3 linked regions of the Cricetulus griseus genome follow. The protein of the gene in region 2 interacts with the protein of the main gene of each other region in a pairwise test. Links are inferred from orthologs where the notes say so. Each region holds a gene or a part of one and is shown on either strand. Other genes may lie near its edges.

What was found. The genes of interacting proteins can lie anywhere in the genome.
Region 1: the proteins of Arhgef11 (region 2) and Plxnb2 interact in a two-hybrid assay, tested with the Homo sapiens proteins (2 studies listed by BioGRID). The link is inferred for Cricetulus griseus from reciprocal best matches to the Homo sapiens genes ARHGEF11 and PLXNB2.
Region 3: the proteins of Arhgef11 (region 2) and Plxnb1 interact in a two-hybrid assay, tested with the Homo sapiens proteins (2 studies listed by BioGRID). The link is inferred for Cricetulus griseus from reciprocal best matches to the Homo sapiens genes ARHGEF11 and PLXNB1.

The regions. Positions count from the first base shown.
Region 1 is NC_048595.1:385,930,343-385,940,241, forward strand, and holds the start of Plxnb2 (plexin-B2), read right to left. Parts: upstream 5,129-9,899; 5' UTR 4,984-5,128; intron 1-4,983. Other genes in the region: protein DENND6B, read right to left, coding at 8,981-9,162, 9,237-9,314, 9,405-9,499, 9,581-9,690.
Region 2 is NW_023276806.1:66,737,564-66,746,711, forward strand, and holds part of Arhgef11 (rho guanine nucleotide exchange factor 11), read right to left. Parts: intron 6,863-9,148; coding exon 6,736-6,862; intron 3,867-6,735; coding exon 3,687-3,866; intron 3,607-3,686; coding exon 3,559-3,606; intron 3,377-3,558; coding exon 3,189-3,376; intron 2,786-3,188; coding exon 2,639-2,785; intron 2,378-2,638; coding exon 2,298-2,377; intron 2,144-2,297; coding exon 2,018-2,143; intron 1,554-2,017; coding exon 1,436-1,553; intron 841-1,435; coding exon 662-840; intron 118-661; coding exon 42-117; intron 1-41. UniProt on the Homo sapiens protein: May play a role in the regulation of RhoA GTPase by guanine nucleotide-binding alpha-12 (GNA12) and alpha-13 (GNA13). Acts as guanine nucleotide exchange factor (GEF) for RhoA GTPase and may act as GTPase-activating protein (GAP) for GNA12 and GNA13.
Region 3 is NC_048597.1:217,208,674-217,218,450, forward strand, and holds the start of Plxnb1 (plexin-B1), read left to right. Parts: upstream 1-4,649; coding exon 4,650-5,762; intron 5,763-6,463; coding exon 6,464-6,646; intron 6,647-7,024; coding exon 7,025-7,153; intron 7,154-7,278; coding exon 7,279-7,379; intron 7,380-7,655; coding exon 7,656-7,788; intron 7,789-8,053; coding exon 8,054-8,210; intron 8,211-8,471; coding exon 8,472-8,580; intron 8,581-8,660; coding exon 8,661-8,769; intron 8,770-9,176; coding exon 9,177-9,777. UniProt on the Homo sapiens protein: Receptor for SEMA4D. Plays a role in GABAergic synapse development. Mediates SEMA4A- and SEMA4D-dependent inhibitory synapse development. Plays a role in RHOA activation and subsequent changes of the actin cytoskeleton.

The DNA of each region.
Region 1 (9,899 bases), on a different chromosome or scaffold from region 2:
TGCTGGACGGAGTCTGAGGGTGAGATAGTGAGCAGGGCTCCATGTCCAAGTGACACAATGGAGCAAGCACTCAAGGCTTAGGAGGGACGAGGACCTGGGATTTTCCAATGAGGAAATGCCCAGCTTGGAGTGGGAGGTGATACTGGTATATACATGGGGGTGGGAATTTGGAGCCCCTAACCCAGTTCTTTTCTCTGGTGAGAAGCATGACACACCAGGTCCCTCTGGAGTTTTCTTTAATTCTATGTATACCTGGAAGAAGTGAAGAGATGTGTTCCAGGGAGCACTCCTGGTCAAGAGAGGGCTTGCCTAGGTCCCTCCTCCTCCTGACATAGGTTTTGTGGCAGAGGCACAATATTCCAAATCAGGCCTGATGTTGAAGTGGAGGTAAGGAGGGCTGAACCTTCTGCTCCTGAGGCCAGTCTAGGGACTATTTCTGAGGTTGGAGTAGTTGAGCAGGTCATTCTAGAGCCCTTCCCCTTCTGCCCCTCACCCCTCATCCCTGGCAGCTTTCTTTCTTGCTGGGCAGGGAAGAAGTGCCCCCAGTATCAAGTGCATGATGGTGGGGCAGAGTGTGATCCACAGCAGGGTTCTTCTATGTCCCGGGATATCTGCTATCTTCCACAAAGAGAGCAGAAAGCCCTCAGCCTCTGAACCACACAAATGCCATCTGCTTCCTCCCAAGACAGACCCACACTCTTGTGCTGGAACTGTTCTAAGACCCAGCACTTGCCTAGCTTTAAAAAAAAAAAGGGTTAGGGCTCTTGAGAATGAAGAGACAGTCAGAGGGCCATGTGTCAATCACAGAACACTCTTAACCACAGTCATCTATGCTGCCTACTGCATATTCTACCGTTGACTGAAGAACTCTGAGACTTCCACACATGATGTGGAACCAAAGGAAATAGTGTTCTTCCCCTGAAAAGGCTTTAATAGATTCCTTATGTATCCCCCAGGTACAGCCCTACATTTGGCATGAACCCATCACCAATTCTACAGGTGGACCAATGCAGGACGCAGGTGGTATGCTGTTTCAGAGGCCACAGATCAGAGCAGCCCCATGGAAAGAAAGCTCTAGCCCTGTACACAGCCAACCCTCTTACACAGTCTCTGAAGGGCTCCCAAGAGCTGTCTTGACCCAGGTAACCATCTGAAAGACCAACATTAATGCTTTTTTCTCTTTTTCACCCTGCCCCCTGCCCCCGCCATAGGAACTACTGAACAGCTGAGCCAGAGGGACCCCTGCCTCCAAATGCAAGTGCGTGGTCCCTGTGTCCAGACAGGACATGCCCCAGGTCAGGTTGCTGGGCTGATAGCAAAGCTGGAGTCAAAACTAAAGGGGGAACTACCCTTTCCCCCTTCCTCTTCTTAAGGCCTGGAGCCAGGACCTAGGTGATACCAGAATGGGGAACTTCTGGGTTTCAGAAGTCCAGGGAGCTGAGGAAGAAAGAGGGTGTGGGCAACAAGCCCAGCCCTGCCCCTAGGCACAGTGTCCCAATCCGGTTAAGCCCCTTCTGTGTGTAGTCCACTGGGACCCCAGGCAGCTCAGGTGTGAACTCAGCAGTCCATGGGGACACCCCAGGGAAGGCTGCCAGCCATGAGGGAGGCAAGGAGCCAGGCTGGGGGAGGGGACACTGGGCTGCAGAGGCGGGATCAGAGAGTGACAAAAGACAGGAAATAGTGCTACCAGCTCCAAGTCTGGACCAGCTTGGGATCTTCCCGGTGGCAAGATTGTTACTGTGAGATGGTTCAGATCTGCTCCAAGGGGAGTTCACCATCCTTGACCACCTGGGAGTTGAATCCAATCACGGTCACAGGTTAACGAATTTTAGAGTAAGGAGGGCCCCTCTAGAGTTGGGGTACAGGAAGGATAGCAGAGGCCTTTCCTATCCTTTCAGATGCTCTAATGAGGTAGAAGAGTCAGAGGCAGCACCTGTAGTCAAGAGTTCAGGACAGGGCAGAGTCCATGCTATGTCAACAGAGGAGAGCAGGAGGCTCACACAGCTGGGGGTAGGGAGCAGTAGCTGCCTGGGGAAGTGAAACCTAGAAGAGCATGAAAGAGTAGTCACATGAGGTCTGGAAAGCCAAGAGCTGGGGCAGCTGCCCCTGATACCCTATTCCAACCCCCCCCACACACACACACAACACACACATACACACACACTTCAGCCCTTCCCAGACTATAATTAGTCAGAATCCAGCTCCACCCTACCCACAACCCCACCCTAAACACAAACAGCCATTAGCCCTAGGAGAGGGGCTCTACCCAGCCCCTACCCCTATCTAACCACCCAATGGCTTGGCACAGAAGGGCAGTGAGGCTAATAGAGGCAGCCTCAGCCTCATCCACAGGTTCTCCAGAGCCTTGACTACCAGGCCTTGGTTGGAGTTCTAACTAACTTACCTTCTTTCCCTCACCAAGCCAGTTCTTTTACAAGAGGCCCTCAACAGAGACAAAAAGCTTACTCCCCGAATATCAAGAGCAAGGCAGGGAACAGGAAACAGCAAGAGGAATAGGAGGACATAAGCAAGGAGTGCCTGGCTGCAGGGTGACAGCCCTTTGTGGCAGAGAGGTATGTAAGGGATAGCCGACAAGCAAGGGATAGTGCTTGCTAGAAGATCCTTCCACCAGTGACCCTTGCCTATGTCCAATATCCCTGAGGAACCATTAGCACTAACCATCAGGAGAGGTACCAGGCAGTGGACAGGACATTAGATGTATGTTCTAGAATAGCTAAGGATCTGGTAGGGGGGACATGTGCCATATGGACACCTCCGTAGGCTGTCAGCCCAGCTCAACCCAATCCCTTCCAATTCAATCTCTTCTGCTCCACTAGCAGGGGCCAGGGCCAAGTCCCTGGGCTTCCTGCCCTTGGGCATCAGCTGCTGGCTCTACTTCCCAATGTGGTCTCCATCCAGGCTCCTGGGCAGTCACAAGCCCCAGGAGCCAACTCAGGAACATCCCAATGGCTTCTTGTAGGGACCTTTATCTGCTCACCTGTGGGATGTCCTGACCAATATCACATTACTAATGAGGGGCGGAGCCGGGAGGCGGTGCAGCCCTTCATTGAACAGCTGGTCAGTGAGAAGACAGGTAGGTGGCCTAAGGTTTAGCTCCAGGAAGATGTGCTTCCTGATCTAAGTCATTGCCAGGAGTGGGACCCATCCCAGGTGTCCTTAAACATGGTTTTAGGGAGTGAACCGGGTCTTCCACATGGGTCTGAAGTACTTCCTGCCCCATGGGCTCTCTCAGAGGAGCCTGGGCATATTCCAGGCCGGGCAGGGCCTACAAAGAAGCCGACCTTGAGGACCTTCTCTAACCCAAGGTGACACATGCCCTCCTACCCCGCCCCTGACTGGTCTGAGCAGCCATGGGAGGGAGGTGGTAGAGCTGCCTGGACTTGCCAGCCCCGCCCTCCTGGGGCTCTCAACCCCGCCCTCCTGGGGTTCTCAACCCACGGCCCGGAAGTGGGTCCCTTCAGCCTCCCCTTCTGCTTCAACCTCCTCTTTGGGTAGCTGGAATTGCTGGACTCGGCTGGATAATCCAAAATAATTCCTCCTTGGCAGGCAGCCCGTGGGGGAAGGGGGACTCACATTCCAAACTCTTGTTTTTCTAAGTAACTTCCCTGAGTTCCTGGGGCTAGGAACCTCTGTCCCGTCCTCAGGCCTCCCCAACTCCATGGAAGGGTGTGAGACTAGGTACCCAAGGAACCGTGGTCTACCTGCTTATTTCTGTCTTCTCTAGCAATTTCGATACAACACAATAAGGTTTGGCACATTCCACAAAACACCTCACATGCTCGCCCTACTTTCGTAGGAACTTCACCTCCTGACCAAAGAGCGAGAACTCTTCCCACTGGTAGTCCAACTTTCTAATGGCATTCCCTACGTACCAGGGTAGCATCCGGGTGTAGGATCAGGCTGACAGCTCCCACCTTAAAGGTGTGCGTGGGCAGCCTGAGGAGTTCAGCTTTAAAGCCATCAATACAGACCGAAGATAGACATTAGAAGGGGCACTCCCCAAGGCAAATGAGGGCCCTCAGAGCCTCTGTTCCTCAGGACATTACACTCACTGACTTTGGGCCTGGCTTCAGCTCCAGTTCTGACCACCACCACCACCATAGTGGCCACTGGCCCACCTCTCTTCCTGCCTTCTCCAAGGAGCTAGAAAAAGGAGTTAAGTGACGTGGCCAGAAACTCTAGGATTCTTAAGATCGGAAACCCCCAGACCGGGAGACACTACCCATCCACACACAAATCTGCCACACAGCCTGACCAGAGGAACAGTATGGGCACATGCATGAGAGCTCCCTGCGGAAGGTATATAGAAGTAAAGGGCTAGATTGTGAAAATACCTCCCAAGTTCTAAGCCTTCTGTCCTAGGTGTCCCTCCAAATATCACACCAACGAACTACACTAGAAGCTGCGGAGACCTTGCTGGGAGGCGTGGGGCCTCACCAGGTACTACTGGGTGTTAGTTCTCTCTGTCCCTTGTTCCCTGTCCCAGAAGGTGTGGGGACTGCTGCGGTTGTGCACCCCTGGAAAAAAGCTCCAGCAGAGCCCGGCTCTGCGCAGGCTTAGCTTGAGAACTGGGGCCTGGAGGTCCGGCATAACAGGGATGACTCTCTCTGGTCCTTCGATTCGGCAGGCTAAGAGGTAGGGGCGCCAGCCGCGAGGGAGGGTTTGAAACTACACTGGGTAGAGTGCAGCTCCATTAGATCGCTGGGACCCGGCCAGTCAGGCCAGTCTCCCAACATCCCGGCGCGGAGGGCCTCGTCGCCAACCGGTGGGGCAGGAGCAGCCAGGCCCAGCCGGTTGGACAGACAGACACAGGGCAAAGACGCAGGCCCGCGTCGCCCACAGCGCAGCGGCACTGCCCTAGCACCCCCGCGTCCGGGTGCGCAAGCCGAGGCCGAGCGGCGCGGAGAGCGAAGCCTGGGCCTGCGCGACGCCCCCCGCAGTTCCCGTCCCCAAGTGCGGTACCTGCTCCTCCGCAGCCGTCGCTCGATGGCGCCGGGGCCGCGCTCTGCGTTGCGCTCTGGCCCGCGCGGCTGCCATGGAGACGGGCCTTTGTGTGGCCGAGGAGGGGCCGGAGCGCGCGGGAGCCGCCGGCCCCGCCCCCGCCAGGGGAGAAGGAGGGCGGGGAGGACAGGGGCGGGTGAGAGGGAGGGACGAGACTAAGGGATAGAGGATAGCCGACCGAGGGTAGGAGGGGCAGCTGGCGTCCCTAGCGTACCCCGCGTTTCCCCCTGCTCAGAGCCACTTAAGCACACTGCTTTGCTTGGATGTTCGCTCCCTGTAGCAATCCGCGCGCCCTGCCTGCTGCAGTCGCGTCTCCCCCCACCCCCATCGCCCCGTCATCAGAGGAGTTCGCTGAGGCTGGGCACCACCCCGGGAGTGCCTCAGGCCGAAGTGAATTGGTGCACGCGGCCCGGCACTGGTGGGTGGCTTCGGCTGGGCCAGACCGAGGCCTTAAGTGTTCCTCTTGGAGATGGGCGGGGCGCAAGGAACCTCGCCACCAGATTGGCAACAGGGGGACCACGCTCGTGTCCTTCCCGAGGGTGATTCTTTCTCCGGGATTCTAGCCGCTCAGTCTCCTGCAGAATAGCTGGAACTCTGCTCTCATTGCCCTCCTTCCTGGTCCCCTGGCCCATCATATCTGGGCCTTAGCGACCCCCAAGTCTTCATCTATTGGGTAGGACAGAACTACTCCCTAGAGTTCCTACTTCTTTCTGATCTCCAAGTCACCCATGCTGTGGCCCCATGGATTTGTAACTTGGCGATGACCCCACTGTCGCAGAACAGGGTTTGGGACTAGTTTGCATAGCTCAGCTCGTGTCTACCCTGCAGTATCTATCGCCTCCACCCAAAATTGCCCTCCTTGAAGACTGCCTACTTCCTATTTCCTTAGGCATCTCCTCCCCAACTTTGGGGATCCACCCCAATTCTTAAGCCTTCCCCAGCAAAAGACTACAAATCTGAGGGTTTTGCCGGTTGTGTAAGCAAGACTGACTTGCCCCATCGCCAAGCAGCTAGGCTTTATCATATTACCTTCTTCCCTCCAACAACAGTTTCCCCCCCCCCCACATACACACACATACCAAGGGACTTCAAAATATCTAGTAATTTGCAGGGCTGCAAAATCTGTATCAAAAAAAAAATAAGTATTTTACCACAAAAAGATATTTTAATACCAAAGTTGTGGGAAGGCCAGTATTCCAAACTGAGTGGGGCTCAAAATAGAAGGCAGGAAGCTGGAGGGTAAAAGATCCCTCCTGTTCTTCCGGTCTTGTCCCTGGGGCTGGCTGCCTCATGACCTCCACCCAGCCCTCCTAGATCCCTTGAATGCTGGCTCACAGCTCTCTCCAATATGCCACACAAGGGAGCCCTGGGGATCACTGCATCTTGGATTTTTTTTTTTTTTTTTCACTATCCAGGCATCTTAACCATGAGGGCCCTTGGGCTTGGGGGGAGGGAAGCACTTCCTTGAAGCCATCTGTCTTCTCTCCAGGCCCTGCCCTGGGCATGGACTTGAAGTCTTTAACCTACTCTGGACAGAAACCCCCACTAACTCAGCTGATCCCATCCTGGGAGAGCTAGAGTAGAAGAGGATGTAGCTGGTAGGAGGCCCCAGGCTGTAAACTCTACCCAGTAGCCAGGACAAGCACCTAAAAGGAGATGGTACTTTTTCCTCATTCCTATATGCCTTGGGTCTATGCCCTAGGAAGTACTGTTGTGAACACACACGCCACATAACCCCTAAATCTGTTTCTGAGTCCCATGTCCAGTGTTCTGAGAATGACTGATTGCTAGGACAGAAGCTAATTAGTCCCAGGTGGATGGTGTCGGAGGTCCATGGGAGCCACTATGAAGCTTACTGTATGACAGCCCCCAGAAAGTGAAGGGAAAACACAACACATTGCAGTGGCATTTGAGATGTGCTCTTTAGAGTGAGACCAATAAGACCTGGGAGCTTCAGACCTTGCCACTCTATACTTGGATATGAGGCTGGGCACACCAAAGGCACAGTTTCAGACTCCAAATGGCTAGCACTGTGCTGTCCCCATAGCCTGGAAGCTCCATCTGTCACAGTGGAAGATGCCATATTTCTGAAGATCCCTTAGAGACCAGGCTTTTGGTGGTGAGGCTGGCACCTCTGTTTCAGGAGGTGCCAGGGCCACTCTTCCTAATGCCAAGGACTCAACCTCCACCTGCTCTGCTCAGTTTTCTAACAGGACACTGAGAATGATTTAGCTCACTGTACACCTTCATCACATCTATCTTGTCTATTTCCTTGCCTGTAAAATGCATACAACGTGACAAACTGTTATAGCCTGAGGTCATAGGGGTAAGGGAGAAACAAAGATCTAGGAACAGGCCTGGCACCTGTGTACAATGGACAGCCTTTGTTACATCTGGACTTAGCCAGAATCAGTGGGGAAGGGCAAGGCAATACATACTTGAGGGTTTGATCAAAGGAATCCGAAGAACCCAGAGGGTTATAGTCATGTTACAGGAGAGCTCTAGAAGAAAGCAAAAACTCACCGTGCAGCTCTGCATTAGCTTACTTTGTGAATACTCCTTAAACATTACAGTGTGTACAACCTGTTCTTTCTTTTTTTTGGTTTTTCGAGACAGGGTTTCTCTGTGTAACAGCCCTAGCTGTCCTGGAACTAGCTCTGTAGACCAGGCTGACCTCAAACTCAGAGATCCACCTGCTTTCCGAGTGCTGGGATTAAAGGCATGTGTCACAACTGCCCGGTCAGTCCACTCTTTCTAATGCCCCTCTTACCCTGCTGCTGCCCCAAACTGCCCAGTGAGCCATCTACATGGCCTGGTCTCTCAGATTTAGAGTCTGAGTGGTCAGGAGACCCACCTACAGGTTTCTGATACTCAGCTGGGGTTTGGCGGTAGCTCTGGATCTTACTTAGTCTGTACCATCCCAACAGCCCTGATATTGTGCTAGGCTGTAACATTGTAGCTCATTGTACCCAGGCGGGTGGGGGTGGAGGGGTCAGTGCACAACAGTATCCAATCCAGGAAGGGGTGAGACAGGGCTAGAAAAGACTCCTCCAACCGTTCAGGGACCAGGCTGTGGTTCCAAATGTCATTTTTACTGCTGGGACAAAGGTGGTTCTAGGAGGGGGAGCTGAAGCCAGGTCAGAGCCTTGAAGGGAAAGGAAGGCTTGGCAGACTTAGGTCCCTGGGATCACACAGGTTAACCCTTTCCTAGGAAGAGCACAGAACAGTACCTCCAAGAGACACCTTGGCCTGAGAGATCAACTGTACCCTAAGGACAAGACAGCAGAGAATGCAACATTAGGCTACAGTCCAAAGCTTTCAAGCTTCAAGGGGAGAGGCAGACACAAGAAGAAAAGCCAGAGTCTCCCTTGGCAGCTTGGGTGAAATGCATGGCCGCAGGTTTGGGGGTGGGGGGCCCCGAGCTTGCTTTCCAAGTGGGGTGCCAGGTCCCATAACCATCCCTCACTCTCTCATCCTGACCAGTCAGAGCAGGAAGGAGATTTAGGCCCTCACAGGACAAAAGCTTTCTGCCCCCTCAAGTAGCTGCCTCGGCAAAGTACCCATCACTCCCAGAAGAGGGAATGAGTGAGTGGAGTGTAAAGAAGGGCTGGCCCTGGCAGCTGCCTCCCTCTGTTCTGAGCTGGGAAGCCTGCTGGGCTAAAGGACCCACAACACAAAGCATCCTGAAGTGTGGGCAGATGGGAGCCAGGAGGGGGCAGGTGGTAAAGGCACCTACAGCAGTGAGGGCTACTAGCCCACTCCCACCTGCAGCTTCAGAGGACAGGTGGGGACCAGGAAGGAGTGAGGCAGTGCCAGCAGAGAATCCCCCCACAGTCAGGGACCAGACTGTCATTCCAAATGTCATTTTTACTGATGGGACAGAGGTGGTTCCGGGAGAGAGGCTGAAGCCGAGGTAGGAGGCCAAGGCTGGGAGTCCCAGCTTGGTGGATGCCTGCCTTCACCGTAGAGGGAACTTGGCAGACTTAGGCCTCCAGGACCACACAAGTTGGCTCTGTCCTAGGGAGGGCACAGGACTGCTTGTAGGTCCTTGGGCAGGGAGCCAATAACTGTGTCGATGTACAGCTGAGCACGCTGCAGTGTCACCTCCTTCACGGGGACCTGGTGGCTCTGTGCCCGCACCTGGAGGGCAATGGTAGTAAGGGGTGGCCATACTTCTGGCCTGGGATGTGGAAGCGGTAAAGAAGGCTTCTCACCAGCTTTTCCCGAAGTTTCAGGGCTAGGTCTACCACTTCCACCTCCGACTTGTCCTTCATCCAGGCCTCGATGTTCTGCTAGGGACAGTTCAGGTTCTTCTCACCAAGCCTCCCACCTACCCCAGGCCTGTTCCTATCCCCTCCCTTTGCCTTCCCTCACCGCCTCACAAATAGCTTCCAGGTGCAGAGCTTCCAGCTTCTGGGCCATCTCTTTATGTCGTTGCCGATACCAACCATCGAAATGGGGGGACTTGAAAAAACGCCTATGATGACAAGAGGCGGCTGAGGAGCTGACCTAGTATATGTGGGGCACCCACAGCAGCCTATGCCCAATGTTTTCCCACCTGTAGAGGCCCAGCCAGTCACCCTTGAGAATGCAGGTGAGCTGGGGTCCCGAATGTTCCAGGCTACGCAGGAAATCATCCTGGCGGAAGGGGCAGATCTGGGGGGGGCTCTGAGACAAAGGCAGTATGAGCTGGGTGCTAAAGAGCACAGACATACAGGTTCTACCTTTCAGCAGGATGGAGACCTCCCTCCAGGATCTATCTAAAGATCTTCACCCCACCCTGTTTGGGACAGATCCCTGGACAGTCCCTCAGGACTTCTGTCAGTGTCTCTTTCTCTGTCCTGGGTGGGATGCCTGGCTGGCACAGGTCAACTTCA
Region 2 (9,148 bases):
TTACCACAGGCTCCCTCCCATTTCTAGTCCCTGGCACATACCCAGGGTCTTATCTTTGCTGATCCTCCAGGTCAGGGGTCCCTCATGGATCATCTTCCTCGTTGTAAGATCCAGGCTCTATAAAGGAGACATCATCACTGCATTCACTCAACAAGTATTTAAGAAGCTACTGTGTAAGGATATTATGCGAAGGTGCTGAGAATCAGCAGGTAGGAAACAACTGTTACCTTTAAGCTCTTACAGGGATGGAGGGAAGTAAAGTGTGCTAGGAAGCCCTGTGCCTGTGATGCTCTGGGGAATATATTAAAGGCTTAGACTTGGGATTCCCACTTGGCCACTAACCTCCCAAGGAGGCAGTGCTGCTTTTCCTGACCTTTTCTTTAGCTTTATTCTTGCCACATTATTTCCTCCTTTACCTCAAGTCCTACCCCATTCTATTTCCTTCAGCTGAGTTTCAACATCTGGTCTTTACTTAGTGGGGCTGTTCTTGTTCATCTAGGGATGAATGACATTAATAGGGTGTGCCTTCCAGGGCCTGGCCATGCCACCCTATCACAGGCAGTCCATGTATCTTACTTCTAAGACTCACTGGGCCCTGACTTGAGTTCTGCTCCTCAGAGGGCCCAAGAAGGCTGCCAGTGTTGTAACCTCCACCTCCTACCTTGAACTCTGCTGCCAAGGGGTTGATGGCCCGCTCTAGGGCAGTGGCATCCAGGCGTTTCTGGTAGCTCTCTAATCGGTGACGGTTCTCTGTCTGCTTCACTGCTTCATTTACAAACTTGAGAATCTCTCTGCACTGGTCCCGGGCACGGCAGAGCTTTTCATGTTCTGGTGTGCCACCTACCAAAAGGGGGAAATGTGTGGTAGTTAGTGCTTCTGCCTGCAGAGTGCATATGCTCATCACTCTTCTAGAGTTATATATGATTAGCATATTTGATTATTTACTTTGTGTGTGTGTATGTGTGTGCGTGCATGCATGCACACACACCACAGTGTGTATATTTGTCAAGTTGGTTCTCTCCTTCCATCCTTTTCTGTGGGTTTCTGTTGAGTCATTTTGCTAGTCCCCTGGTTATAGCTTTCATACACTGCAGAGGTACCCAACAGAGGTATTAATGGGTCTAAAATCCAGCATAGCCCTCACAGGAACTCACAGTTGCCCAGAGGTGCCAAGACGCCTCTAAGGGCCAGCCACTGAGTCTATGCTTCCTGATTTCTATAAAGGCCCAGAAGCCAGTAGTGGCCCTGTTCTCCCTGCTGTACAGCACTTTGTATTTCCAAAACACATTTACAATTATTCTCCTCTCTGAGACTTAATGTACCAGGACAAGGAAGACACTAAGGACTTCAAAGGTTTAGGCTTTCTAAGATCACAAAACTGTGACAAAGCAAGGATGTCTGCTGCCACAAGCCACTAGCCCTCCCCATGCCCTACCCTCTGTGTGCTTGATGATATTCTCCAGCAGCAGAGGGTACTTGGTGAGCCGCTGCATTTCAGAGATGATCAGGTCTCGAAGCTGCAGCCGCCGGCACTGAGGGTGGCTCTCAGCCTCCTGGATAGCAAGAAGCAGAGAGAGGAAGATGTCAACTAGTAGTTGGGAGCTGCCTTTAGGGGTCAAGGCTAAGATGGTTGTGAAAAGGCCAAGTAGGTCCTAACCCCGGATGGTCACTTGGAATTGGTGGCAGTTTTTTTCCTTTAACATTTCGGGAGGGGTTGATGTTGCCAGGAAGAGATGGTCAAAACAGAAGGGCAGTATCACTCCTGTTTTACAGAAAAGCACACACCAGTGCTGGTAGTCAAGCTAGGCCTTTGCCTACTAGTCCACAGTACTTCTCAATCAAAGGATCTTTGGCTCTAGAGGCAACGCTTTACAGTACTGCTGTGGGTGATGTGGGTAGGTAGAGGGGACTGCTAGGTGCCCACCTCAGTAGAGACAAGGTTGGGGCCAGGTGAGGTTAGGAGACTTTTGGTGAGTAGGACACAGCTGAGGGAGGGTTAAGACACAGCCCAGGATACCTGCATGAAGAGCTGGAACCGGCTCTCCTTACGCTGCTTAGTCTTGATTAGCTCTAGGGCTACTGACTGATAGGAACAGAATTGCGCAGCTACTTGCTGGAGTTCCTCTCGGGCAGGACCATCAAACTGAAGAGGCAGACGGGACATGGTCCAGGTATCACACTCCTGTCAGGGAGCAGCACCCCCCCTACCTCCCCCCCCTTGACTATCCCCTTCTCTGTTAAATTCCTCAGTCTTGGGTAAAGGGATCTTGCTTCCTCCAATCTCCTCCTTGCCATACCCGAGCCAGCATGAGATCCCCGATGTCTCTGATAATGGGACCCTCCTCCCGGAGCTTCTTCATAGCTTCACACCAGGAATCTGTGGTAAGAAGGAAGAAGCAGAAATGCCTGGGTTGAGCCACACTGCTAGATACTTTATGTCTAGAAGGAAAAGCACTTTTGACAGTAGTGCAATGGAGAAGTCGGGAAGCCTTTACTTTGGATCTGGAGGTTGGTTTCAAGCTATCCGTCAGCTTCTCTCAGGAGTAGTGGGGTTACTTATTTAGGGGATTGAGGTGGGGTCCAAATGAAATAGAGAGGAGGGTGGCAGAGGGAGTCGGGAGGGGTGCAGGCTCCTTACTGTGAATCTCTATGAGTTCAGGCAGATTAGGGAAGAGCCTCGCCAGCTCTTCCCGAGGCATTAGGTTCTCCTTTTTCATGCGCTGGTAGAAGATGAGGTCCAAGACCCGGAGGGTGCGCAGATGGGATGCTTCTGTCACAAACAGCTCTGAGCAGAGGTTGTGACAAGGAGAGGGAGGGGAAAGAGATCAGCAAGTGTCTAAAGCAGTGGTTTCCAACCTTCCTAGTGCTGCAACCATTAATACAGTTCCCCATGGTGTGGTGACCCTCAACCATAAAATTATTTTGTTGCTATTTTATAAGTGTAATTTCATACTGTTATGAATTGTAGTGTAAATATCTGATATGTGACCCCCAAAGGGGTTGAGACCTACAAGTTGAGAACCACTGGTTTAGAGTCACTCCCTGGTCCACACACCATACTACTCTTTAGGAAAGTAGAGTGCTGGTTTCTCTACCCTTGGGCTAAGGCCAGAAATGAGTTGACCTTGGAGAATCTCTCCTACCCACATAAGCATGAGTGGCGATGAGGGAAGCAAGGCAGTTCTCACCATTGATGACCTCTTGCCGGTCAATCTCCCTCTGTGTTAGCCCTGCCATCACGTCCTTGCCTACTGTATGCTGCCAGTTTTGGACATCTGGCTCTGGCTCCAGGTCAGACAGCTGGCCCAGATCATCCTCCAGAAGATGGGGAAGGACAACATCTGAACAGAACCCCAGATTGGGGGACTCAATGCTCCTGGGGAAAATGGGGAGCTCAGTTTCACTTGTGAGTAACTTACATTCAAGGTTGTCTGTCACTCTCCTATCCAACCTGCTTGTCTAAGGCCCATGGAGAATGGATAAACATCTGGCCATCATCAGATGCGTGAAAGTGCCACAGAGACACCAAACAGAGGTACCACGGTGCTCACCACTCACCTGCGGCCCGTTTTGGGTGTGAAGGGAGGGGTTGGGTTCTCAAGGGACCTGAGGAGAAAATACCAGCTCTGAATATACTGTATACAACAACAATGTATCTAACGACACTAAATAGCAATGGAAGTTACCTGGTGGAGAGGCTGGAGGCAGAGGATGAGGCTGACTGATGAAGGCGAGTGGCCTCAGCAGCAGCATCCATGTCAACATCACTTCGGGATCGGGGCACATTCTCTGCTTTCCGAGATCTCTTCATCTCTTCCCGGCCCTTGAGGCTCTCAGAGCGGCCCAGGCGAATCTCTGAGCGAGAACTGCCATAGAGGGACAAGAAACTTTTGAGATCTGACATTGTGGCTAGCTTTTACCTATTACCCCACTCCAAAGGCGCCTCAATACCACAGGTTTTCTACCTGGCCCTGAAAGGCCCAAACATGAGGGTCCAGAAGCTGCACAATGACAAGCCACTCTGGCTGCTCTACAGACTCTTCGCTCTCCTCGGTGGGCTTACTGGATAGTTTCTCTTCTTCACCTTGAGCTATCAGAAAGGTGAAGTCAGGAGCTAAGACAGTGGTTCTCAACCTTCCTAATGCCAGGAGCCTTTAGTATAGTTCATGTTGTGGTGACCCCCAACCATAAAATTATTTTCATTGCTACTTCATAACTGTAATTTTGTTACTGTTATGAATTGCAAATATTTGATATGTGACACTTGTGAAAGGGTTGTTCAATTCCCAAAGGGATTGCAACCCACAGGTTGAGAACCGCTGGGCTAAGAGAATCAGGTTTGTGTTGTCTCCAGATGCCTAAGACACCATGATCCTTTCAGAAGACACATGGATTTCATAGTCTTTCATTAGGGGTCATAAGGTCCACTGCCCTGGAGGCCATCCCATGACCAGTACACCTTGACTGTTTTGGACCAGCTACTACTCTCTATTCTGACTGAGGTGGATCTTTCCTTGACAACATCCTCTTTGAGGGGGGTATACTTAGGGTTCCTGTAATTCCCCAAGCCGCCTGTCAGAAGATGATATCTGCTCTAGTATTCTTACTCTCCATCCCGCTATGATGTAGATCTCTCCTTTTCCTACTGATAGCACCTTCCCTAAGCTTCTAGTTCCTTTCCAGGGAGGAATGGCCAGGGAAGATGCTTCCAGAGCTTGGTTACAGTAGGCAGGGGTTCATTCCTGGTTGTCCTAATTGGCTAACAAGCATCCTTAGGGCTTGGTGAGATGCTGACAACTGAGAACTGATTTCTGTTGAGTCCTGCAGTACATCGGCCTCAATACAGCTAGCATCTCTGACCCCTAGATGCCCCTAGATGTACCACCAGGCCCTGCTGGGCTGGCCCTTTGTTGACATTATTGCTAATCTATATCCTGTTCTACATCTGGAACCACAGAAGGCCTTGAGATGTCTGGAGAGTGCTTAATAGTAAAGCAGGCGGCTGCCACAGGGAGCCAAGTACCTTGAATCTTCATTTACACTTTCTCTAAAAGGCCAGAGGATTCAACACAGAGCTCATCTCCTTCGGGCCTGAATTTGTCTTCAGGGTTTGCAAACATCTTGACAACTGATGTCCTCCTGAACTTACCCCTTAGGAATCTCTGAAAACAAGCCAGATCTAAGCCATATCAACTCACATTGTTTTCTCTGTCCTCAGTCAGCACTACAAACCTCTTCCAGTTGGGTTAGAGGCTACAAAGCTTTGTAACTTCCTAAAAGATCCCTTCGGCACTCAATACCTGCCAAGCATCGACAGCCATCTGTCTTAGGTAGATCAAATTTACCTAGCAAGGCCAAGAGTGCAAGTCTGTATATGTTTCAAATGTTTTCTCAAGGTATTGACATCTCCCAAACTTAAAATATTTGACATATCCAAATAATCACACCTGTCACAGCAATTATGTAATTTGTATCTAATTTACCTATAAATGTTAGAAGTCAACCTCTCTCTACAGTACAAATCTAAAGTTTACTGTCCCAAAATCTTTGTCAACTCTTACTATGGCTAAATCCTTTGACACACACTAAGTCTATGAGGGCTAATATAAAACAGAAAGATTAAACTTGCATTCAAGCAAGACTGTCTGACTTATGAGTTGATAGTTATTTCAAAGGCAAAATGGCTAGACTATTTACACTGCTGCCTTTGGACTTGCCTTCCTGCCCACCTCTATACCTCAGTGGCTTTCAAACTTGATTGTATAACAGGATTATTTCCCCGTACAAAAGGATGGCTTGAGGAATCTGCACAGCCATTTCTGACTAGAGGCAATCTTTATTCTAAAGCTTGGTGTAGCCATGACTACTGTCATGCCTGTCAGGAGCAAGGAAATCTATAGCATGTGTTACAACCACACAAACATCCTTGTTTAGAACCCGATATCTGACAGAGATGCACAAAACAAGACAGCACCATCCCGACCCTGTCCCCATCATTTGTGAGATGGGGTCTTTGTAGACTAGGCTGGCATTGGACTCCCAGTGATCCTCCTGTCTCAGTCTGAGGAGTGCTGAGATTACAAACATGTGTCACCACACCTGCCCCCCTTTTCTTTTTGAAGGTCTTGAGCTAACTGACTCTACAGTCTGTTGAGAAGGATGACTCATTCCCAGTTACTGCTTGTCTTTAAAAGTGTCAGCAGAAACTCCTTTTTAAGCATTTAAAAAAGCATTATTATTATTATTATTTATTATATTATTATTATTACAGAGACAAGGTAGACCAGGATGGCCTGAAACTCACAAAGATCCTCCTGCCTCTGCCTCCCTAGTGCTGGGTAGGATTCACAGTGTGCTTTGACATCTCACTTAGCTTAAGTTTTCTTCTTAACAGGCAGAGTTTCATTTTCTAAGACTTCCCTCTGTCCCCTCCAAAGTCCTTTATCCACATCACCCAGCACTTCCTGATCGGTAGCTGGATAACATAATCGAGCTCCATTTTGGGATGTAACTGCTCAGTAGTTAGGGGATCCACCTGAAGGTTGCCTTCATGATCTTCCACTGGCCTAATTCCCAATACATTATGCTTTCTGCAGCTACTAGGGTGGGCAGGCTCTACTTGCAGCCTCACAGTCTAGTGGAGAGGAGCAAGGCAGTAGGAATTAAACCCTAGTGCTGAAGCCTGGCCGTGCTCCGTGTCTGGGCAGCTGGTGGGTCCCATCCAGCTCCAGCTACCTGTCACTCTCCAGCAGGTCCTCAGGAAAGCTTCCTGTTGAGAGTCGTTGTGTCCCCGGCTCTGGGACATCATACTGATGGCTGTTCTCAAAGTGCTGAATGATGTTCCTCACATTGCCTGGCTTAACTGCAGGCAAAAAGAAAAGGAAGGTACTATGCTTTCTGTCCCAGGGCCCTTACTCCCCTCTAGCCCAGAAGACAGAGCAATGAACAAGCACAGATGAGAACAGCATGGGACCAGAAGATAGGGAACCTGGCCTAGTCCTGGCTGAACACTCTCTCTTTCTAGGTCTCCTCTTTTCACACTCTACCTGAAAACAATGACTAAGTTTTCCTTAAGTCACACAGCAGGTCTTAAAAAAGAAAAAAAGAAAGCAGGAAGACGGAAACCTCTCTTAGGAAGAGAGGTAACACATTACTTTGTGGTATTTGAACTCTAGCCCTTTTCCCAAGTTGACAGCTTAGGAGCCAGTCTTGTTCAAGAACAAGCAAGGGACAGAGAGGGAGGAGACACTAAGACATAACACTTGGAAACCTTGGGCTCATACTAAGCTCAGCATCTGGGAGCCAGGGAGGCAATAAGGAGTTCATCTTCAAGTCAAAACTGAGTCATGTGAGGTCAGAGCAGGGCTTGGGTAGAGGGCGGAGGCAGGGTAAGTATCCCTGGAACTGGCAACAACGAGACTGACTTTAAAGATTCTACATATACAATACAGACTCCTTGTCTAAAATAGACTTCCTCGCTGGGTAGTGATGGTGCATACCTTTGATCCCAGCAATTAGGAGGAGGCAGAGGCAGGCAGATCTATGTGAGTTTGAGGCCAGCCTGGTCTACAGAGCAAGTTAAAGGACATATAGGGCTGTTACACAGAGAAACCCTGTCTCAAAACAAAACAAAACAAAACACAAAACCAAAAACAACAAAAAGACCCCCTCATCACAAAAAAAAATCTGACTTTTTCAGGAAGATTCCCAAGCCTGAGAGAGCAAAAATTATTGGTCTGTGGCCCCTTTCTCAGACTTTCTAAGTAAGTGGCTGGGTGTATGTTTAATAGAGGCTGTTACTATCACTTGCTTTGTCTAGGACCTGTCCTAGACTGGATGTGATTCTGGCTTGGGGGTCACTATAGATTTGATTAGCTGTTGTGTACCCACAATGGACTTGTCTGAATGGTTATGTAAGAACCTAGGGATATCCTATAACTGACAGCATGAGGCAGAATCTACTATCTCATGGGCCACCTGAAAAATGTCTAGGTGTGCTCTGTACAGAGTGTGGCTGTGGCAAAAGCAGGTGTACCCTGAGATCTGTTATGGCTGAATAACTCAGCCTAATGGGAAACAGGAAGCACATTTTTAACCCAGCCAAGTTTCACTAGTAGACTTTGTTGTTTGCTTTCCTCCAGTCTCTGAATGACAACGGAACTAAGAAAAAGCGAATTATGTTGACTGGGATGATAGCTCAGTCACTGAAGTGCTTGCTGCATAAATGTGAGGACCAGAGTCGAATCCCTAGCACCCACATAAAAAGTCAGGTGTGGTGGCAAGTGATTGCAATTCCAGTACTAGGAAGATGGAGACAGCCTGCCTAGCAGATTGGTGAACCCCAGGTCCTAGTGAGACAGATCATCACAAAAACCAAGGTGGATTCCTCATGAGGACTGACACTTGAGGTTGACCTTTGACTTCTATAACCCCCCTGCTCCCATGAATTGTTACTAGCACCAGACAAACAGGTGATAGCTGGTGATTTTAAGTGTCAATGGAACCTATCTAGTAGTGGGTGTTTTATGTCTTAGGAATTTTAGAAGGCCAAATCAAATCAAGTAATCAGAGTGATAAAATATGAATTAAGGAGCACATCGATGGGGCATGGGGCTGGAGAGGCCCAGCATGGTAACAGTCTTGCACTGCTCTTCCACTGGAACAGAGTGTGATTGCCAGCAATGACACCAGGCGGCTGGCTCGAGGGGACCCAACTCCTCTGGCCTCTGCAGTCACTGGCATTCATGTTCACATACCCACACATACAATAATGGTAAATTAAAAATAATGGTAAAAAAATCTTGAAAAAGGAGAGCATGTAGACCCTTGGCATCTTTACCTTGTTCTCTTGGGCTCAGAAACCTTACTCCACCTTGGGCATTTGTGTTCTCTCAAGCTGACACAAAGCGAGCTCCTTTAGTGGAGCTGCTTAGCCCCTTACAACCTGTCGTTGCCTCATACTTTCCTTGGCAGGGTAAGTGAGAAACAGATTTTGGCAGCTATGAGCCTGGAGCTGGGAATGCAGCTCAATGGTAGAGTAGCTTAGTTCCAACGATGGGCCTGGATTTCAGGGCTATTCTTTTGCTTTTCCTCCACTAAAACTTTTTTTTTTTCAAGAATTATTTTTTATAGCTTAAGATAGCATGAT
Region 3 (9,777 bases), on a different chromosome or scaffold from region 2:
CGACGGGAGGGGGTGGAAGGAGCGGAGCTCGGGCCGGCCGACGCGGCTTTGTCTCCTTTGTTCCCAGCGGTGGCAGAGCCGCGGCGGGAGGGGCGGGCGGCGGGCGCAGTTTTCCGCCCCTCGGTCTCCGGGTAACAGCTGCGGCTCCGCCAGACCCACCTCCGGGGGGAGGGAAGGTCGTAGCGCGCAGATCCCGAGCGAGCCCGGAGCTGCCCGTCGCGGACGCCTCGCCGCGCGCATCCCGCAGGCAGGTCGGGCGGTGAGTTGCGGGGGCTTGGGCGGGGCCGGGCGGAAAGCCGCGCGCGCGCCCAGGTGGAACGACCCCGAGGCCTGGGTCCCGCCGGGCGCGGGCAGCCCGAGCGGCGCGGTGGGCGGCTGCGGTGCAGAGAGTTGGGACCACGCTGGTGCGCGCGAAGGCAAACTCTGGCGGCGCCGCCTGAAACGCGATTGGGAGACGGAGGAGGTGGAGCTGCTCCTCCGCGCCCCCTCCTCGCCGCCGCCGCCGCCGCCGTCTGTCGGGGCCGGCCGGCCCCTTCCCCGCCCTCCCAGGGCCACTGGTGGGGTCTTTGTCCCGTGGCGTGGTGGAGGGGGGAGGGCTGAGGATGAGCCGAGGCAGGGCAGTGGAGGCTTCCCCGTAGGATAGCAGACCCTTCGGGCTGAGGCTGACAAAGGAGGACCACGAGCCTTTTAATTCTGGGACGTACCCCGCGGGTGCTCGAGGAGCGCCTGAATTTATCGCGGGTGTCTGGTAAATGATGGCTCCGTCCCCTCCACCCCCACTCAACAGCCTGAAAGCAGGTGTGCGGTGGTCACCATTTCAATGTCAATGAGTTACGTTCCCTTTTAAGTGGATACTGGATGGGGACTCAGAAAGGAAAGGCCAGCTAACTCCCAGGCAAGGTTCTTGTGCAGGTGCGGATGGACTGAATTTGTGAGCCCTCTTGGTTAGTGAGAGCCGCTGCAGGAGGGGCTCAGGTGGTGCTTGTCCTTTGCAGAAGTCAGGCAAAGCAGTCCTGGGCCCCGCTGAAGGGTTTCAGGGAGTGTGGACTCTGAAGAGGCCTGTAGGGCAGGCCTGGGCACAGGCAGAGTTAGACTTTGGCTATGAGCCTGGACAGAGCCTGAGATGCAGGGAGTAGGGAGGAGATACTCGCAGTGCAAGTTAGGGACATGAGGCTTGGGTCCAAATAAGCGTTTTCAGTCTGCTCTAGTCTGATCATTAATAAGACGGTGCCAATTCCTTGTCTTTTGAGAGGCCAAGAGGCTTGGAAAGCAGGAAGCTCCATATTACCCCTACTGGCTGGATTTCCTGGGCAGTGAAATGGGGGCTCATTCACCGTGGAGGGAACACCTGCTCTGCGTTGGGGTTGCCGGTTACTTGGGCCTCCTAATTAAAAGTGGGCACACTCCTCCTTGTCCAGGGTGGGAGGATGCAATGGGAGAAAATGGTCTCGGGACCCACTCATGCCAGATCCACTGTACCACATTTAGTGTTCAGAACAGCCCTACGTCCCCTCCCACCAACAGGAAACGAAGCTCAAAGCCCAAGGAAAGTCAGGCTGGTGGCTAGGTGTGTCCATTCCATCTACCACACAGGGTCGCCTCCTCAGGAGCCTGGGAAGGCTAGGAAGGCTCCCCGGGGAGGTGACGGCTGGGTGTGGGAGGTAATGGGAGAGAGAGGGAGTGGGCATTCCAGGCCGAGGGAACAGCCCTTGTGATGGCAGGGAGGAGTAGAACAAGCCTGCAGTTTAGGCAGGAACTAAGAGCATGTGGATAAGAAGGGCCTGGCCTTTCTCTCTCCATCCCTAGCGTACCCAAAAAGCTTGAGGAGGGCGTGCACTGCATTTTCGTTTAAAGAGCATCCAGTGATGTCCTCATAGATTGGAGGGACTAGGGATACCTCTGTAGTTAAGTGCAATCTGTCTGCTAGCATGGAGGAGGAAAATGTCACTACCCTTTGTCCTGCCCCTGCCCATGGTATGTAGGCCTATTGAAGTAGTTCCTTAGAGGGGGTTAACCTCTGACCTGTGTGCTGAGCTCTTCGGAGCCCTCAAATTTCTCTGTATGTTCCCCTCAATGCAGCTGTAATTTCAGTTTGGGGAGTGGTTTTGTTACTGCCCCTTGAGGGCTGAGAAACTTTGGCTTGCAGTAGGCTCTGAGCAAATATTTATTTACAAGCCAACGAAACAGCAAATGCTGGGCTCACTATGGGACCCTGTGCCCAAGGCACCTCTGTGGCCCAAGGTAGTATGGGAAGGTCGGGTAGCAGCAGTGAAAGTGTTGGCTTCTGCCTTTCCAGGGGAGGAAATTTGGTCTCTCTATCCCTTGGAAACAAGGTGGGGGGCTATTTAGTAGCCTGGCCTTGCCACAGCCCTGGGCTTCAGGCTGGGTTCAAGACTTTTTCTGCTGCCTCTTCCCCTCCACCCCCTTGGGTGGCAAACAGAAGCAGCCTTGTTCCCGCTCCCATAGAGCTGCCCTGTTCTCTACACACTAAAAATGGAAACCCCCAAGCTATTTTGGGAGCAGTGCCCAGCCAGACTGTGGCCATGGCCCCCTGCTCCCAACTGGGCTGTGACCACAGCGTCCTTGCTCCCACCAGGCTGCTGGACCTTCCTCTTAGCCTTGTGCCCAGCCCTGCTTATGATAGGGCAACCTCAGGAGTGCCCTGCTGAGGCCTTTGATAGCATGGGCCAATCCAGGCTCAAGGAAGAAAACTTTGGGAACATTCTGCATAGCCTGGCAGCTAGGTGGTGGGAGGGGCTGGGCAATGTGGCCTGGGCACAGGCAAGGAGGGGAATGTTTCTCAATGTAGAATGGTTTGTCCCATACCCCAACCAAACTGTGTTCCTGAGTGAGGACCAGTGGAGTTTGGGGAAGGTAGTTTTGCCATAGTTACTTAGGTCTGGAATTTAGGAGCCTTAGCTGGGGCCTGCAAAGTGGGAAAGCAGGCACTCAGAGTCTGTGGAAGTCCTGGGTTTGGACTCAGGTTGCAGGGCACAGCCAGGCATGATCACTTCCTCAGAATACCCAACCTACCACTCATACTGCACTCTGGGTTCTGACTCTACAACCTGCAGGAGAGAAAATTCCAGGAGATGGCCTGCCTTCCACAGCTTTCTAGGACTTAGTGCTGGAACCAGGGAAGTGTGCGTGAGTCTGTATGTGCAGGTGTCTAATGTGTGTATGTCTGTCTCGGTGGAGGTATGACATGTCCATGCAATGTATGTAGGGGCTGAGTTTTGTATGACTGTTTTCATGTGGTGTCTGAACATAGATACATGTGCCCTGTGTGGTGTGTTTAATGTTTGTGTGTATGTGTCTACTGTGTGCATAGGTCATATCTGCATGCGTTGTCATGTGTCTGTCTGTGTGTGCAAGTGCTCCTGTGTTTGTGTGGAGACGTATGCATTCAGTGTAGGTGGCATGCGTCTGTCTTAGTGTGTGTGCATGTGTCCCTGCTGGTGTGCTGATGCCCGTTTGAGTTAGGGTGGCCCCTAGTCTATGTGAGCAGTGTAGAGCTGAGTGCCCTGATGGGCAAAGTTAAAGCCAAGGGTGGGATGGAAAGGATGCCGAGAAGGGACCTCGGTGCTGGGGGCCTGACTGAGCCCAGATGGCCATGGGGTTCCTTTCTAGTTGACCTTTCCCAGGCCCCTCGGGTGCCTGGCTCTGCTGCCCTCCCCCTCCCTGTGTGGGTTCTGAGGAGGCGTCCTCTGTGGAATGTGTTTGGTGGCTGAGGGCCAGGCTGGGCTGGGCTCCACCGTGGGCTGGGGAGTGGGAGGGAGTCCAGGGCTCCCGCAGGCCTGCAGCCCAGCCCCCAGCTTCATTCTCTGCTTTTCCCCACTGGCTAGGTGACTCCTGCTCAGGTCATGCTGTCATCTCCTGACCCAGCCAGCCCTGCCAGGTGAGCCAGACTTTACCCTAATGGGGAACTGTGTAGCTGTCTCTGCTACTCAGGGCTCCCCAAGGTGAGGCCCTGTCCTTCAGCTCTCACCCATCCCAACATAGCCCTTTTAGATCCCTGGCCTGAAGGGCCCTGCATCCAAATTCTTTACTTTTTCATTTATTTATTTTGTTGTTGTATTGAAACGAGGTCTCTATGAGGCTGTCCTGGAACTCTCTGTATGAACCAGGCTGGTCTCAAACCGACCGATCCACCTGCCTCTGCCTCCCAAGAGGTGGGATCAAAGGAGTGTGCCACCACACCCATCCCTGTGTCCAATTCTTGCATTGTTAAGACATGCTGGTAGTCTTTTAAGACCTCATCACCCCTTTTCCTCTTGCCCAGGAATCTAGTATCCATATAGAGGGACCCTTTCCCTCCTCAGAGACCTCTTCATCATTTGAATCAGAGAGCAGGGTCTAGAAGGAACAGAGAGATCAGGTGAGGGCTAGGGTGGGATATGAGGAGGTACAGGTCTCCTGAGAGAGTAGTGTTGAGTTTTCCAAGGGCAATGTCTTCTGTTTCTGCCTCAGTACGTGTGCAGTCCTGGGATCACCCGGGCATCTAAGCCTAGTGAAGCCTAGGAATCTCTCAGTAGCCCAGGTTAGGAGGAACATCTTGGCAGTGCCACAGTCCTGTCCCCCATCAGTGACTTCTGAGTACCCTCCTGGCCATGTGAGCCTCATCCAGCCTTTCTCTCTGCCAGGTGACCATGCCTGTCCTCGGCCCAGTTCTTCTCCAGATGCTCTGGGCCGGGTGTATCCTCACCCTACAGTCCCCTCTACCAGCTGTTTTTACTGCCAATGGCACACAACTACAGCATTTGGCAAGGGACCCCACCTCAGGTACCCTTTATGTAGGGGCCACCAACTTCCTGTTCCAGCTGAGCCCTGGGTTGCAGCTGGAGGCCGTGGTGTCCACAGGCCCTGTGAATGACAGCCTAGACTGTCTGCCACCTGTGATACCTGACGAATGTCCCCTCGCCCAGCCTACTAACAACCCTAACCAGCTGCTTCTGGTGAGCCCAGAGGCACTGGTGGTGTGTGGGAGTGTTCACCAGGGTATCTGTGAGCTGCGGAGCCTGGGACAGATTGGACAGCTGCTGCTCCGGCCAGAACGGCCTGGGGACACCCAGTATGTGGCTGCAAATGACCCTGCAGTTAGCACAGTGGGGCTGGTTGCCCAGGGATTGTTGGGGGAGCCCCTCCTGTTTGTGGGGCGGGGGTACACCAGCAAGGGCGTAAGTGGTGGCATTCCTCCCATTACAACCCGGGCCCTGCGGCCACCGGACCCCCAAGCTGCCTTCTCTTATGAAGAGACAGCCAAGCTGGCAGTGGGCCGCCTCTCTGAGTACAGCCATCACTTCGTGAGTGCCTTTGTACGTGGGGCCAGTGCCTACTTCCTGTTCCTGCGGCGCGACCTGAAGGCCCCTTCTAGAGCTTTCCGTGCCTATGTGTCCCGAGTGTGCCTTCAGGACCAGCATTACTACTCGTATGTGGAGCTGCCCCTGGCCTGCCAGGGTGGCCGCTACGGTTGGATCCATGCTGCAGCTGTCACCACATCCAAAGAGGTGGCCCGTGGGGAAGTGCTCTTTGCAGCTTTCTCCTCAGTGGCTCCTCCTACTGTGGACTGGCCCCTGTCGGCTTCAACTGGGGCATCCGCATATGGAACCTCTGTGCTCTGTGCCTTCCCCCTGGATGAGGTAGACCAGCTTGCTAATTATACTCGAGATGCCTGTTACACCCGGGAAGGCCTTGCTGAGAATGGGACCAAGGTGGCCGACATTGCATACGATGTCCTTTCTGACTGTGCGCAGCTGCCAGTGGTGAGTCCAGGCATTTGCCACTGATCAACTGCCAGGAAGGCTGAGGAGCAGGGATTGGGAAGAGTGGCTCTCATGCCAGGTGCTAGGTATTTCCTTTTAGGCCTGAGCAAGGTGACTATCTTATTGCAGTGGCTGAGCCAGGTGGTAAGGAGCAGTTGGAGGGACGGGCTTGAGTCAGGGCACTGAAGAAGTGACTGTAGAAGTCGGCAAAGAGAGTGCTTGGGCTCGAGGGTATGGATAAAGTGTTGGAATGAGCCCTCTTGTTTTAGGTTCTGGAGCAAAAGAAAAGGTAAAGACTCTGTGGCTATAGCCTAGGAAGGATAGAGACGGAGAAACTGCTCACTGAGTCCGTGAGGTGCAGAGGGCACAGGCAAGTGGGCTGGGCGTTGTGGAGCCAAGCTGTGCGAGCTTTAGGAGACGACTCAGGAAAAGATACTGAGTATAGCAACTGGAGGAAGTAGCTTCCAGGAAAGGGATGGCAGAAAATGGGGACCACTGCTAGGATGGAGATGAAAAGGGAAAGGAACCACCAGAAACATGGAGGACGGAAGCACACTGAGGTAAAGCTAAGGATGGTCCTGTAGGAGTGTCCTGCCCAGGACAGCACTGCCAGGGAGGCCAAGCGGAGATTGGGACCTAGGTGAAGTTTACCTGGAAGGTTATCCAGGCAGGGTCTTAGTGATGCTTTTTGCCACCTGTAGGATACCCCGGATGCCTTTCCTTGTGGCTCAGACCACACACCCAGCCCCATGGTCAGCTGTGTCCCTTTGGAAGCCACACCAATTCTGGAGCTGCCAGGGGTTCAACTAACAGCTGTGGCAGTCACCATGGAGGATGGACACACCATTGCTTTCCTGGGTGACAGTCAAGGACAGTTGCATAGGGTACGTCCTTAGGAAGTATTAAGGTTTGAATGTGTGACATGTGACATACTAAGTGCCTCCCATCCCTGCTCTGGCTCTGAAAATGCTGCTCCTGCCCGGGTAGGGTGTATTTACCTATAATTCTCCCCACATACACATACACCCTACAGGCTGGTTGTAATAACCTGGAACTCACAGTGTAGAACAAACTGCTCTCAAACTCACAGAAATCTGCCTGTCTCTGCCTCCACGGTGCTGGAATTTAAGACTGCCCCCCCCCCCCCGACATCTGCCCAAAGAGAACGCTCTTATTCATAAATTGTTCTAGTTCTGAGCAGTGGAAGGTCTTGAGTTTGTGGCTTTGGGCTCGGTGCCAGATTTTGTGGTCTTTCATCTTAGGTCTACTTGGGCCCTGGAAGAAGTGTTGCCCCGTACTCTAAACAGAGCATCCAGCCGGGGTCTGCTGTGAGCAGAGACCTTACCTTTGATGGTACTTTTGAGCATCTGTATGTAGCGACCCAGACTACCGTAAGTCCTGGACACAGGCCAGGGAATGGCTGCTGGGAGCGGTTCCTGGGATGGTACAGGGACCCATATGTGGGTGGGCCACTAGTTTTTGGATTGCCAGCCTCAGGTCCTCTTTGCTGTCACAGCTTGTGAAGGTTCCTGTGGCCCCTTGTGCTCAGCGTCTGGACTGTGACTCTTGCCTTGCCCACAGGGACCCTTACTGTGGATGGTGCGTGCTCCTGGGCAGGTTAGTGCTCCTGCTCCAACTCGTGACCTGGGCTTGTGCCTCATACAAGATTCTTGGCCCTTGTCCACCAACTCTCAATTTCTGACCTGTGGACGACCCCCCTCTGCTCTTTATCCCCCTGCTCAGGGCTTCAGTTCTCTGCCATAGCAGACACAAGAGCCTGGTATCAACCCCACGTGAGGACTGTGGCCAGGGCCTCGGGGCTAGAGATATATTTGCTTTGTGAATTCTTGGTGACTGCTTGAGGGTCACAATTAACATGTTGGTTCTTCTTAGATGCAGTCGCCGGTCAGAGTGTTCCAGGGGCCAGGGCCCAGAGCAGTGGCTGTGGAGCTTCCAGTCGGAACTGGGTTGTCTTCGAGTGGTGGCTGTGAGCCCTGCCAATATCAGTCGGGAGGAGATGAGGGAGGTAAGTGACCGGAGTTGGCAGAGCCCCAACGGGGAGAACTCGGGATGGATGGAGACCTTGGATCTTTGAGTTATTGCATCAAATGCCACATGGCCTTCCTCAGCCACTTCTCTTGGGCCTTGGATTTCTCTGTAACAATCAAGGTCAGAGGTTGTTTGTGAGGGCTACAGGATGCTAATGCCAACCTGGACTTGGTGCCCCTTAAAGGAGAGTTCCTGGTCTACCAGCCAATGATCCCAAAGTGTGCCCTTGGCTTTCTTGGTAGGTTTTCTTGTCGGTGCCAGGCCTGCCGTCTCTTTGGCCGGGGGAATCATATTTCTGCTACTTTGGAGACCATCAGAGTCCTGCTCTGCTGACTGGTTCTGGTGTGATGTGCTCCTCCCCAGACCCTAGTGAGGCTCCGATGCTGCAGAGAGGAGCCGGTGGGTGAGAGAAGGGGCCAGCCCCGGACCTGGGAGCCCCATCCTGCTTCCACTTTGCTCTAAGGGGTTTTGTTGGGATAAGAGGTGAATCCAGACATAGCCCTGGTTGTGCTCTGAGTCCCCACAGTGTCCATGCTATATGTCCTGAGGGCTTTGTTCTCTGACCCTAGTTCCTGTCTCCATTTGGGGTGTCAGCCTCATCCCATATGGACCCTATGCCCTTCCCGCTGTTCATTTCTGGCTTTCTCCCCCATGCTGCAGACCACGTCTCCGTGACCGTGGAGCTCAGGTTTGGTGCTGTGGTGATCGCCAACACTTCCCTCTCGTTTTATGACTGCATGGCAGTTACTGAGCTTTTCCCGTCTGCACCGTGAGTTCCTTACCTTGTCTGTCCCCAGCACTGGGCTCCTTTATTGTGACCTCCATTCCATGACCACTATATGCATGCAGGTGCCAGGCCTGTGTGAGCAGCCGCTGGGGGTGTAACTGGTGTGTGTGGCAGCACCTGTGCACACACAAGGCCTCGTGTGGTGCTGGGCCCATGGTGGCGAGCCAACAGGTGAGTGGGACTCCAGAATGAGGCATGTTGGGGGTGGGGCTAAGGCTCCCCAGGGTGAGGTTTCTAATGGCCTGGGGTCTGTGTGCCTGCCACCTCCTTTGAAGTTCTGTGCTGAGTACTCCAGCTGTTTTGTGTGACAGACACTCCGGGAGAATGGCTACTTGTCCATCCCATCTGTTTTGGGAGAGGACATTTAAGCTGAGGGGCAAGAGGTGTGGCCTTGGCCTGCTACCTTGGCACAGACCCCCCTGGAGCCTGCCCTCTGTGTTCCTGCTTTAGAGAATTAATGGGATGTTTTTTGTTTCTCTTTTCCTCGGTCTTCTTCCCTCTTAACATACCCTTGCCTGCCTGCTCCTGCACCTGCCTGCTGAGTGGCCCTTCCTGTCTGTCTTGGCCTTCCCTCTCAGAGCCCACTCCTCTCCCCAGTCCCTCCTGCAAGGGATGTACTCACTCCATTCCCACCCACAGTCCCCAAAGCCACAGTCACCCCTACTCCCAACACCTTCCCAGTGGAGCCTCGGGCTCCCTCCACAGTTTCAGACGTCCTACCTGGGGCCAGGCCTTCCTGGCTCAGCCTCTGGGGCCCATGGGCAGGTCCTGGCCCCATACTTTCCCCTACCTCCACAGACTTACCTCTCTATGAGAAGCCCCTCCCTACCACACCTGGAACCACTGTCCCTACCCCTGCTCACTTGGAACCAATGACCACACCTGAGGACCTCTTGGCCTCCTACCCATTCCCCTCAGATGCAGCTACAGTGTCCCCTGCAGAGCCTGGCCCTGAGGCCCTGCCTTCCACAGGGGCTCTGGACCATCCCCCTGGCACTGCTCCTGCCACCACTTTCCCAGGGGCCACTGGCTCCATGAAGCCTGTTCTGGATTGGCTCGTGAAAGAAGGCGGCGAGCTGCCCGAGGCGGATGAGTGGATGGGGGTTGACACGCCTGCCTTCTCCACTTCCACACTCCTCTCAGGTGATGGAGACTCAGCAGAGCACGAGGGCTCTCCTG